Linked DNA regions of Drosophila melanogaster. The protein of the gene in region 2 binds, or shares a complex with, the protein of the main gene of each other region. Each region holds a gene or a part of one and is shown on either strand. Other genes may lie near its edges.

Region 1 (6,381 bases), on a different chromosome or scaffold from region 2:
CGTAATAGCAGTACTTCCATCTTGTCCTCGACATTTAATTGCATAAATAAGGGACGCAGTACTAGGCTTAGCAGCTCTTCGTAATCATCGTTGGACGAGGTCTCGTCCTCGTCGTCCCCCTGATTTACTTCCGTAACGGATATGCCCTCGTCCTCGACCACCATTTCGGACTCCACCACCTGACCCAGGAAACTGAGTATTATCTGGGCATGTTTCTTGGTGAGCATAATTAAATGATTTGCCATCGTTTCCAGGCACTCATCGCTGCCAAAGGCTATGAAGCGGCTAAAGAGATTGTCCAGCCCGGCGAGCAACTCCTCATTGGTGGCCATACCGGAATCGATAAAGGCCAAGAGTTCACCGATTCTCATCTCGGCAACGCGCTGCTCCAATGTTTTTGCTGCATCCGCAAAGCTCTGCATCTGCTTGCAAACCGGATGCTCTCCGAGCAACTTATCTGATTGGAGTACTTTAAGCAATTCTGCCGTCTGTCTACAGATTAGCTCCTGGCAGTTATACAAAGCACTTTTCGATTTCATTTCATGCCAATACATATACGTGTCTACGCTAACGAGCTGAAAGATACGCTGCAGAACGTCTAGCAGTATTTGGGCGAAATGCCGCAGATCAGGCATGGGATCGCTTGAGTTGCTGTCACTGATGTCCTCGGTTATTTGGCTGTAGACGGCGAAGCAATTTGGTTTCTCCCGCTTTAATGGATCATTGAGGGTATACAAAAGGACTTCTATAAGGTGATCCATAGCCTTGGCCAGGTAAATCTTTCGAGTGGATGGACGCGGCAGCGTATGGAGGCGCTGTTTAGAGTCCAAGATATGACGATGTTCCATGCAGGCTATCTGGCGCAGCAGTTGCTTATTTTCTGCGGGCAAATTGCAGTTGACAATTGCGCGACCGGCTGCTCTGAGGGCGGCAGAGAGCAGCGGTAGTGTTTCCACGCAATCTGAATTAATGACCGACAGAGCCTCATTGAATGCCTCAAAATACTGGATGGTCAGCCAGCGGGGTCCACAAGCAAGGAATTCCTCCAGCGGCTCCATGAGACAGCAGTTAACGGCTATTGCGATGGTCAAGAACAGTGGGATAGGCGGCAGCTGGTTACACAAATGCATGACATTGGCGCTCCACTGCGATTCGCACTGGATATCATCGTGTGCAGTGTTCAGCACCAGGTACACCAGTAGTCCACGCAGGTGATTCATAGCACAAGGATCCATTGTGTCTGGCGGCTGTATGATTAGATCGTGCTCCACCAGCAGGTCCGTCACTTGGTCGCAGATCTTCGCAATGTGCTCATCGTTTCCTGAGAACAAACAATGTTCATATTTGGGCACTAACCTCTGGTACTTCACTTACCACTCCAGTAAATCATGTCCTTCAGACGCTGGACCTTCTCGTTGTAGTCATGAAATAACTTCTTCAGCTGGACAAACAATTGGCAATTGTCCAGCGGGTGCTTCTTAGCAGTTATCATAGTGCTGCCGAAACTTCGCGTTTTGTCAAAACTTTTCCGAACGAATTCAATTTTATGTGCGTCTTCTCGTCAGATGACTATCCAAAATCGATAGTTGCGTACCACTTATCTTGCGTGCGAAGAATATTTTTTGAAAATGAAAATGTCCCGAATACAAAAATTTCGCTTTGTTATGGACTCTCTGATGTAGATTTATTCCTATTTATTTAACTTTATTTCTAATTTTTTTCCTATGATATGTAAATATTTTTAGCTGAAAAATAAATTAAGTATTGTAGTGCCTTATTCGATAATTAATAATTGATATTATTAACGATCCTCCCTTTCGACAGGAATGCTGAGAGATCATCTGTTCGTTATCGATAGTCTTGTATTGCGTTGGAGGGCAATAGACGCGGCTGCCTAACGGCCGGCAAAGCAAAAGCTAATGCTTAAATGGTAAAAAAATAAATGTATATTTGCTATAAAGTATAGTATTGTGTTTTTCGAAATTTGATAATTGATATTATTAACGATCTTTCCCGTTCGCCCACAATGCAGACAAATCAGCTGTTCGGTGTCGATAGTTTTGTGTTGTGGGTGGCGGTCGATAGACGCGGTTGTCTATCGGCCGGCGAAGCAAAAGCTAAAGGAAAGTAAAATAAAAGCCAAGCAAGAGCGAAACAGCAAGCGATAGGAGGAGTCGGTCGCTGCCTAAGGAACAAGCGGAACTGGGTTAAAACATGCCCATGCAATAGGCCAAATTATCTATATTATAGGCCAGACTTTCCGTCGCAGACCGTTTGGTGGTGGCGGTGGAGAAGGCGGCAGACGGCTTATAAATTATGGAGCTACGCGAACTGCGCGGTGGAAATGGTGGAAGCGTAGGAGGCATTGGAGCAGCTACAACCGGAACCCCCGGAGTGTCAGTGAATGGAGCCCCTAGTCCCGAACTAGGCGGCATCTGCATTGGAGGCGCCGCCGGAGGACAGCGTATGCCCACCAGAGCGGATATATTTATGGAACAACTAAACGCCACCAATGCCAAGAAGGTGGCTTTGCTTCTGGTCCTCGGCTTCATCGTCTATCACGGCCTGCTCAACTGGAAATACGGTGGGTCCAAGGTTACAAGATCTTTAAAGATCTAAGTACTATGAAATTTATAATGGATGTGGATACGGAATCGTACCCATTTTAAGATCACAATTGTATACCAATGTTCACTTATTCTTCTCATATTATTAATGAGTCAGTTTGACGTTTGACCATATTCGGTACATTTTAAATAGTAAAAAAGGTTTTTACAAACTTTTAATCTCAAACGTTTATGTAAATATAGATAATCATGTCGAATTTTAAGATTAGTGTACAAATTCTGCAGTTGGTTGGATTAATATAAACGACATGTAAAGTTCATATTTGGGATGTTGGCTGCCATCGTATGCTTATTATGGATATTGATTTGTTTTGTTTTGTTCTCCCGCAGGCAGTGACTCCTGCCAGTGGCTGCTGTCCAAGGGCCGATTTAAGGGCGACAACGAGTGGCAGCCGTACGGTTGCATGGTGCACAAGTACTCCCTCACGTGAGTAATCAACGCACATTCCCGACAAGATAACCCCCCAATTAATGAGTCACCCAAACCGAAATTCTCATTATTTACAGTGACACAAGGCGCTGTTTGCGTTACCTCGCCTTCTTCGACAACAAGAACAACTTTGTGTTCATTGGCGACGAGAGTATACGGCTGCTCTACGAACGATTTGTGGAGCAACTTCGCCTGCCATTGGCCGCGGATGAAATGGCCGACGAGGAGGACAATAACGCCTCGGTGACTGATGGCTCAGCCCGTTTCGAGGACAAGAAGCTGCATATGCTGGCCCAGTACATTCGGGCGGAGGAGGTGAGTCCGTCGCTTGTGGAGCAACTGTACCGTCTGGAGTCTGAGAAGCAGCTGTCCTCTGTGTACGTTGTGGGCTTCACCTATGCCGGCTTGCTCGCTGGCAACACCACAGACGATGTGCTGCGGCAATATGCCGCCAATCTTACATTGCTGGTGGCTCCGTTTCATCGCCTGGTGGCGCAAACTTCGCGGGTCCTCTGGAAGCTAGCAGACCGCGTGGACGAGGAGAAATTGCCCGCGCACTGGAAGCTGCTCCAGAACGAGCAAATCGATCGATTAAACCATGTGGCCAGAGGAGTTTTTCGCTACACGGAGGCAAGTGTTTGGGAATCCGCCTGGCACATAGCCAATGGTTTGCTGGACAACGCCATCGATGGTCATCAGCTGTGCGCCCATGGCCAGCGACTGGAGGTTCAGCTACTGTGGAACATGTACTGCAATGACTACATGAACTACAATGATGGCACCTGCTGCAGCAGTTCTGAGCCATACACCACGCTGCAAATAGTGGCATACGCCTTGTTTGGCGTCTGTATGGCGCTTGTGTGTGGCATGTGTCTGCGCAGATGGGTGCTTCACCTGCGGGGCCAGACTTTGTATGTGCCCCTGCAGCAGCAGCAATCTTACGACGGGGGAAGAGCAGGTGGAGGATCACCGAGCAATGCCTTATCCGCTCTGATAACCGACTATGGCACTCCCATGGTGGCGCTATCACTGCTGGGCCTAATTTTGGCCTATTTCTACCTCTGCGATCGCACAAACTTCTTTATGAAGGAGAACAAATACTATTCTGAGTTTAGCTTCTGGATACCAGTGGGCTATGTCTTCGCACTCGGATTGTTTTTTACGGAAGATTCACGGTTCACTAAGGTGCTCAATCGCGATCAAACGGATGAACTGCGTGGCTGGATACTGCTGGTGGTGCTTATATATTACATGACCGGAGCACAGCGAGTGCTGCCCATTCACATGCACATTAAGCTGTTGATCTCAGGATACTTTTTCCTTACCGGATACACGCACTTCACGCATATGTGGCAAACGGGTGGCAGTGGCTCCCTATTCGTACGCTTTTTCCAGGCCATGTTCCGGGCAAACTTTCTCAGTGTACTGCTGTGCTTCTGCATGAACCGGCCGTATCAGTTCTACTATTTTGTGCCACTACTATCCTTTTGGCTGTGCATCGTATACTTTGTGCTCGCACTGCCGCCACGAATTTCGTCCGCATCGGTGGACGCCAATCCGCTGCACTATCTGTATTTGGTGTGCAAGTGCATTGGTTGCCTGGGCGGCATCACGGTGCTCTTCATGTCGGAGGTATTCTTCGAACGGATATTCGTAACGCGACCGTGGAAAGCGTTGTTTGTGACCACTGACGACGACCTGCACGAGTGGTGGCATCAGTGGAAACTGGACCGGTATACGGTGGCCTTTGGCATGATATATGCCGCCTGCTTTCACATTGCCCAAAAGTACAATGTGTTCGATGACAACAACCATGGGAATCTGTTTTCGCGAAGGACATCAATATCAGTCACATTGCTGGCCCTGCTGGGCGTCGGGGTGTACACTTCGTTCTCGTTCCTTTGCCGCAACGTTCAGAACTGTGAGGAGATCCATTCGTATATACTGTTCATCCCGATTGTGGGCTATGTGGTCCTCAGGAACATTTCGGGTATTCTACGTACACGATACTCGGCGTTCTTCGCCTGGTTTGGCCGCATCTCGTTGGAGCTGTTCGTCTGCCAGTATCATATTTGGCTGGCCGCCGATCGGCATGGAGTTCTGGTGCTGCTGCCCGGTTTCCCGACGCTCAACATGATCATTACATCGTTCATATTTGTGTGCGCATCGCACGAGGTGCACCGCCTCACCCAAATCCTGCTGCCGTATGCGGTGCCCAGCGACTGGCGTCTGGTCATGCGAAATTTCGTCATCTTCCTCATCGTGCTCATACCCGTCGCCCGATCGGATGGCATGTTCTGATCCTGAGCGATTCGCAATCCAATTGCCGCCCAGGTATTGACCCAAAGTATTCGATAGATAGCATAGCCTATTCGGCAAATATGGAACGAACTTAATTGTTTAACGTCAGGGTGGAACGGTTCTGTATTTAAGCTTATGACCTTAAAATCCATTTGCCATATCTCGATATTTTTTTAAAAGATACTTAACTCTAAGGCCATGGGTCAAATATTTGTTTTCGTTTTGCCTAAGAAACCCCGGGATCTGGCATTTTTGCTAAGATTCAGACAAGACAATAATTTAATTTGTTAATGTTAGCTCATTATGTTCATTCGATTCGAGTCGGGATCAAATAACTTTCAGTTAAAGTATATTTATTTTTGCCTATTTAGCAATCGAACCACCCTAGTTTGAAAAGTGCGTGTCATAGCTATAAGAAGAAAATCGTAGTCAACTCTCGAAATGAGATGTAAAACCTTACTTAATGCAATTTCATTTTTAAGATTAAAGCTCCTAAAATCTATTTACATATATGTTTGTTTAATAAGTTAATTCGGTAGCTGACTTTATATGGCTTTACCTGCAACTGCACAATATTCTTATGGTTCTGAAACGCACTGTAGGCACACACATGATATATGTATGTGTATATCGGAATTATTTGCGCCGATGTATACAGCCTAGGGTTAACTTAGCCTTAATTAAATTTTGCACAAATTACTTAACAACTCACCCAACCAAACACACTCACACTCAAACATAAGCAGCGGCAAACCAAATGTATGTATAAAGCAAGAGAATAAAGCAATGGATATACACTTATTTGACACACTATACAGCGCCGGTCGGAAGCCATTGGCCGGAAAATTTATCACACTTTTCGGAAAATATGCTGCAACTCTGAACTCTGGACTGGCGGCCACTGAACTGGGCATCCTCCAATGCGGGCACGTGGAGGAGGCTGCAGAAATTGTGCTCATTGACATGCTGCAAACAAGCTGCAACTAAGTCCAAACTACACCGAGAAAAACTATCTGTTGCTGG
Region 2 (6,381 bases):
CTTCTTAGTGGTCGATGATCTGGAAATGGCCCAGAAGAACACGGAAGCCGCATTTGCAGCCAGTATGGGAAGGGCGGTCAAGATGCAGTCCACTTGCCAGGCGGCACTGGATGACCTCATAAACATAGATCATAAGGACGAGACCTTGACCTACCGCGTGCCCCTCGAACATTTGGATCGGCTTAACCAGTTTGCGGCGACCTACTTTATGCTCCATCGCTGTCTGACGACTCTGAACGAACATTACCAGAAGACAGTGTACCTAATTGAAGTGGAGCATAAGCGATATCAATGCGTGATCTGCAAGATTGATGATACCCTATCCATGCGCACGGCTATTGATTCGGAGCTTATATTTGTAAGTGATGTATTCATTTAAAAGATGAGAATTTCTCCAATTTCGTTTCCCGCTTTCAGCCGCACTTTGTGTACCTCTCTCAGGTGTGGGGCAATCTGAACAACTACCTGAACCACATTGTTGAGTTAAACAAGCTGAGGGAGCAGGTGGAGGCATTGGTCGTCGACGACTTGATGACCCTGACAAAGGCTACGATTGCCGAGCTGCAGGCGCTTCATAAGCGGATAAAGAAGCCCAAGGTCTGCAGCTTTGAGGAACGCATGGATGCCGTGAAGGAGTTGCAGACCGATGGCAACTTTTGCAAGCTCAACAAGGCAGATATAAAGGAGTTTTGCTCTCTAGCCATGACCATTACCAACGGCCTGCTTATGCCGGCCCAGGTGACCAGAAAGCTGTGCTCCAATGTGGACATTACATTTGGTTTCCGGGACCCAAGATACGCTCGATTCGCGGAGCTGCGATTTGAGCCTTTCATAGCCGCCTTTAGAAAAGTGGTTTTCAACAATGCGAACCTGGCTCTGCTGTTCAAATTGGACGATGCGCTAATAGAGCAGGAACTGCAGAATCTGGTAGTTGAGCCACCAAAGCAGACAGATTTTGAGTGTCAAACCGAAATGGTCGTCACCAACGACCTAACGCCAGCAAACTGGATAAACGTAACATGGAATGCGTGGGATTATCATCGGGAGACAATCCACTTGGCCAATATACGTAAGAAGCAGACCAACGACGCGCAGACCAACATTAGTTACGGAAGGCGCAACGCACAGAATCAAACCTACAACTGTCGGCAACATAAGTAGAGAACGGCTAAGAACATATACTCACCGATTTTCGATTTTCTTAAATCAAAGAAACCTAGAACACGATTCACAATAAAGTATATAAAGTGGTCCTGCCACACAAGCGAGTAGACTTCTTTTTTGTGCGGCGTCCGTAAGTGTGTCTTTACTTTCATGCGCTCCACATCCAGGATGCCCACCTGTTGTTGAGTTGTATATTTAGGTTCAATATCCAATAAAATAGACGAAATCAAAGCCATACCGTTCCGTCGAAGGTGCCAAAGGCCAGTTCCAAGCAGTTTGGACTCCAAGCCAGGCAGTAGACGTTGCTGGACACATAAACGCTGTCGATGGGCAGGCAGCTGGTGGTGAGCTTCGATATATCGAAGAAGGCCACACGGCGATCCGAACAACCCAAAGCGATTCTAAACGAAAAACAGTTTAGCAACGTTTGCGAATGGCATATTATCTTATTAGCTTACTTGTTCATATCATCTGGACACTCGGCCATCGCTCGCACTCCAAACGCCACTGTTCCGTAAAAGTCAGCCATCCGGCCAGTTTTAGGATTCATCATTCCAATCTGGCGATTGTTTCTGCACAACCATATCATCTCTTTGCTGGAGTCACAGGCAAAGGACACGATGTCTTGCAAATGGCAGCTGTGTGATTTATCCTTGCTGATCTTGTAGCGTAGCATCTTGCGCTCGAACTCCACGGACCAAAAGAATAACTGATGGCGACTCAGGGAAACAATGACATGGTTGTTCAGCCAGTAGACGTTGTTAAGCTTGCCTGAAGAAAAGATCCCAGTTGAATGCTTGCTTTCAATGGTTTGATTCTTTCCACTTACCCGCCGTCTTGCTTTTGCTGTAGTTCTTGCCAGCATGCGCTCCCGTATTGGTATTCCAGATCATCATCACCTCATCGCCGTCAATGGACACGAGCAGAGTTTCCAAGTGGGTGCTGTTCACGGATGTCAAGCTGATGGTCTCCGCGCTGATGGCCGGCACAACTTGGAGATTACTCTGAGGCTCAGACTTGGTCTGCGGTGTTCCTGAAGCATGTACCTCGGCCTGGTGGTAGATGTGATGCAATACTTCTCTTTTGGGCTTTGCTGCCTCGCCATCGACGATCACGGCATCATCACTGGACGAGCTGTACTGGATGACCTCCAGACTGCCCTCGGTCGAGTCGCTGGCATCGTTCTTGTTGCTAATGGTGCTGGCATCACTTAAGGGACCCGTAGGCTTTGTGGGCTCGCAGTCATGCAGCGTGACCTCCACGTGCTGCGTTTTATCCTCCTGGCGACTGGCTAAGAGTTCGGCTTTCACACTCTCGCAGGCCTCAACGAAATCTAAGACAGCGGCACCAGCTGGCTTCTCTAGACCCACAAATTCGCCGCCACAATCCTCTGAAGATTTGCGGCGGCGTTCAGCTATAGGTGCACCGAACTCGTACTCAAGATGATCAAAGTTGTATATGTCGAAAGGGTCGTCGGATTCGGCTGCCTTCGATTTGGTCAGTGGTGGTGGCTTTGTCTTGGGTTTCTCCTCCTGGCCGCCATTGCGGCTTCGCCACTCTTCAGCACTTAACGCCAGATTATTGGTTTTTTCGTCCTCGGCAGCAGGCACCTCCCGCCAGGCTAAGCCGCATATGGGCGCTTTGTGGCCGTGGAACTTGTAGACGATGTTCATTTTGCGCAGATCGCAGACCAGCACATTACCCATAGCCGTTCCCACAGCGAACAAATTGTCATTGTAGGGCGAGCAGCGCACCATAGTGAGTTGGTGATTTCGGGGCGAGATGAAAGTGGAGCGACGGCAGTAGGTGTTGGATGCCACACAATAGATGACCAGATCACTGGCGTCCATGGATAGAATGTTACCATTGGCCAGGTAGCTCATCAGCACGGAGTTGGTAGTGTGGTGCACGACGCGCACATCCCGCGCCTCGTGCTGGTGCTGATGGGCCTTGTGCCCGATGACGGCTTCGCCCAATGCGCAGTCCCACACCTGAACGCTTAGATCGTCGCCCACAATGGCGAATGGCTTGGTCGGCCCACCGTTGCCCAAGCCCCACATGGGACTAACGTCCAGGGCCAGTATGTTGATCCGCGTCGACATGGTCACCACTTGGGGCTGCTCTCCGTTTGCCGGCGGCGCGGATATGTAGTTGATGCAGCGAATGCCGGCGTACAGCAAACCGCCGTCGGGAGCAGCGGCCGCCAAAGATACGTTGCCCGGCGGTGTGGGCACATTGTGGTACATCACCTGCGAGTTCATGGCGAACAATAAGGACTTGGCATCTGCAGGATGAAGGAATATTTCCCGCTAACAGTTGGCGTCGTTCGGGGAAAAAACTTCTGTAAAGCTGTTAGTGTTAGGCAGCTTCTTAAACTTTGCCAGCGATGCCACCTGGAAGGCACGGAACTTAACAGTTAATTAAAATTGATAATAATTAAAATATAAATTTGTTATTTTCGAACTTGTATTTATAACAAAAATCTGGATCTGCTTTATATAAATAATTTAAAAATATAACTAAGTACCTTATGCTACAAAGCCTAAAATCTAGGGATCACGTTAGCTTTAGTATATTTAAATTACCCGCTATTTACCACAGACGTTTTTTGTCTATCTGCCAACTCTATGCAATCCATTTCCTGTGAATGGCAACCAGCAGGTAGAGAGGAAGAAGAAGACACACAATAACAACGCAAAAAAAAAAGGTAGAAAAATCTAGCAAATTCTAAAAGTCTCCGTAAAAATAAAATACAATCGGCCACAATGGAAGCAAAGCGCGAGAGAAAGTCATCCCTGGTACGTACCTTGTAGATATATGCGAAGAAGAAAGAAAACCCTGATAGAAGTGCGATTTTCAGGCACCACTTTCGCCATGTCCAATTCCGGATATTACCGATGACGATTTGGTGAGCATTTCGGTAAGGGATCTTAATCGGACCCTCAAGATGCGTGGCCTGAACCGCGAGGAGATCGTTCGGATGAAGCAGCGCCGGAGAACCTTAAAGAATCGCGGATACGCAGCCAGTTGCCGCATCAAGAGAATCGAACAGAAGGACGAGCTGGAGACTAAGAAGTCGTACGAGTGGACGGAACTGGAGCAGATGCACGAGGACAACGAGCAGGTGCGCCGCGAGGTGTCCAACTGGAAGAACAAGTACAAGGCGCTGCTGCAGTTCGCCATCCAGAACGAGATACCCATTCCCAGCGAGCTGGAGGGCTGCTGAACGATTGCCCAGTCACATTCCTGTTTCTGTCAAAATTACAATAAACCCAAAACGGAAAAAAACACCTGTAACTAAAGTACAATAGCTGGCAAATATCCTTCCTCAATAAACGTAATCTGCTCAAGAACCTCTGCATCGCCTTTATTGAAGCACCCTGTATTTAGCATAAACAAAACCCGTGTCGGCGCTGCGCTGCGAATGTCATAAGATCCGGAGCGCACAAGGAACTCGGCAAAAGGCTGGTGGTTATGTATTCATCTCGATAGCTCCGCTCTCCAACCAGTTCATCCATGGCATTTCGGTTCTTTGGCAAGTCCTTGCTGTACGCTCTGCCACTTGGCGTCACTTTCCTGGACTGCGTTGGTTATGTGGCCAGGGTGGATGGTGAGTCGTCCGGAGTTTATTCGCTCCATGTTAGTGTGCGCTAATTAATCCACAACTTTTTGCAGGCATCTCCATGCAGCCCGCTCTCAATCCCGTGCCGGATGAAAAGGACTATGTGTTCCTGCTGCGCTGGGGCACCCACAACAGTCAGGTGGAGCGCGGCGACATAATATCGCTCATTTCACCCAAGGATCCCGCCCAGAAGATTATCAAGCGCGTGGTGGGGCTGCAGGGCGACGTCGTGTCCACGCTGGGCTACAAGCACGAGATCGTTCGCGTACCCGAAGGACATTGTTGGGTGGAGGGCGATCACACAGGCCACTCCATGGACAGCAATACCTTTGGACCCGTCGCCCTGGGCCTGATGTCCGCGCGGGCAGTGGCCATCGTGTGGCCACCGGAACGCTGGCGAATACTGGAGAACGAACTGCCGCGGCGACGGAGACCCATACAGGCCTCCAAGAACTCCAGCAACTACTACAACTAGACTGACCAACTGGCGGAGAGCCTGCGCCCAAGATAGTTCCAATTGTGTACATACTGAACCGTATATTTTATAAACAATTTGTTGTGTTCCCGCATGCAAAGCAAAGTAGGATGTTCCAAAGTAAAAATTAAAGTTAAAGCCAAAGGAATAGCTCTTATACTACATCATTTTTAGCTCCCGAATGCCGAACTCCTCCATGAGGCTGAGTGTCGGCTTGAGAGCCACGCCGGCGCGCACTATTTCATAGTAGCCAGGAGTGGCCAGGTCAATGACCGTGGAGGCCAGTCGTCGCTCCTCGGTCAGACCGATTCGACCGGCATCGAAGACGGCGCCCAATTGGGGCCATAGGGAACGGAACTCGGACACCTGCAGACTGCTGGGCGCACTGGAGCGATTGGCGCTGGTCAGGGCCAGGGGCTTCTCCTGCCACACGGCGCACAGGTCGCGCATGAAGTTGAAGTCCGGAATGCGTATGCCGATTTTGGAGGTGCTGGGATTAAGGAAACGGTTGCTCAGCTGGGACGTCCGCTCGATCACGATGGTCAGGGGGCCCGGGAGCAAACGAGTTAGCAGCTCGTCGCTGAGATGGGCAGCCTGACCAAAGCGTCGCAACGCATCGATGTTGTGAACGCAGATGGCCACGGGCTTGTGTTCATCGCGACCCTTAATCTCGTAGAGCTGCTGTATGGCTGTCTCGTTGTTGGCATCGCAGGCCAGGCCATACACGGTATCGGTGGGCAGGGCAATCACTTGGCCACCAAGCAGGCACTGGCGGGCCAACTGGAGAGCAGCCTCGTCGCCCACCGCGCACACTGGAGTCCTCAGCTCGCTCGCTTGGTGCTGCATTCTGCTGGATGTGTGGTGAGCACGGAGCAGTCGATAAAGGCTCGTTTGAAGGCGGCGCATTAGTCTCGCCAGGTGTGGTTGCACTCGTGGTTGCAGCACTTGTAAAACGTGGTCATGGGCTCATCCGCCGACCGCGTCTGGATTTGCATAAAGTACGCCCGCTTATGGCCGCACGTTGGACACTCTGCGTCCGTGGAGTCTACGTTCTCCCACGCCGCCTTGCCGCCCAGCACGTGATCCACCTCCTGGAAACACAGATTATCAGAGATATTAT

The links.
Region 1: rig (region 2) and Glos share a complex: the UniProt entries of both Drosophila melanogaster proteins name them as parts of the core survival motor neuron (SMN) complex.

The regions. Positions count from the first base shown.
Region 1 is NC_004354.4:3,931,933-3,938,313, reverse strand, and holds the start of Glos (gaulos), read right to left. Parts: upstream 1,798-6,381; 5' UTR 1,493-1,797; coding exon 1,375-1,492; intron 1,322-1,374; coding exon 1-1,321. Other genes in the region: CG2938 (uncharacterized protein), read left to right, coding at 2,317-2,584, 2,958-3,054, 3,135-5,358. UniProt on the Drosophila melanogaster protein: Component of the survival motor neuron (SMN) complex that catalyzes the assembly of small nuclear ribonucleoproteins (snRNPs), the building blocks of the spliceosome, and thereby plays an important role in the splicing of cellular pre-mRNAs.
Region 2 is NT_033778.4:20,637,157-20,643,537, forward strand, and holds the start of rig (rigor mortis), read right to left. Parts: upstream 3,526-6,381; 5' UTR 3,426-3,525; coding exon 1,994-3,425; intron 1,936-1,993; coding exon 1,623-1,935; intron 1,566-1,622; coding exon 1,403-1,565; intron 1,341-1,402; coding exon 1,187-1,340; exon of another isoform or gene 1,162-1,186; coding exon of another isoform or gene 418-1,161; intron 359-417; coding exon of another isoform or gene 9-358; intron 1-8. Other genes in the region: CG13436 (uncharacterized protein), read left to right, coding at 9-358, 418-1,161; maf-S, read left to right, coding at 3,930-3,962, 4,010-4,390; CG11110 (uncharacterized protein), read left to right, coding at 4,681-4,774, 4,840-5,261; Tcs1 (Threonyl-carbamoyl synthesis 1), read right to left, coding at 5,421-6,167; Polr3K (RNA polymerase III subunit K), read right to left, coding at 6,167-6,352. UniProt on the Drosophila melanogaster protein: Component of the survival motor neuron (SMN) complex that catalyzes the assembly of small nuclear ribonucleoproteins (snRNPs), the building blocks of the spliceosome, and thereby plays an important role in the splicing of cellular pre-mRNAs.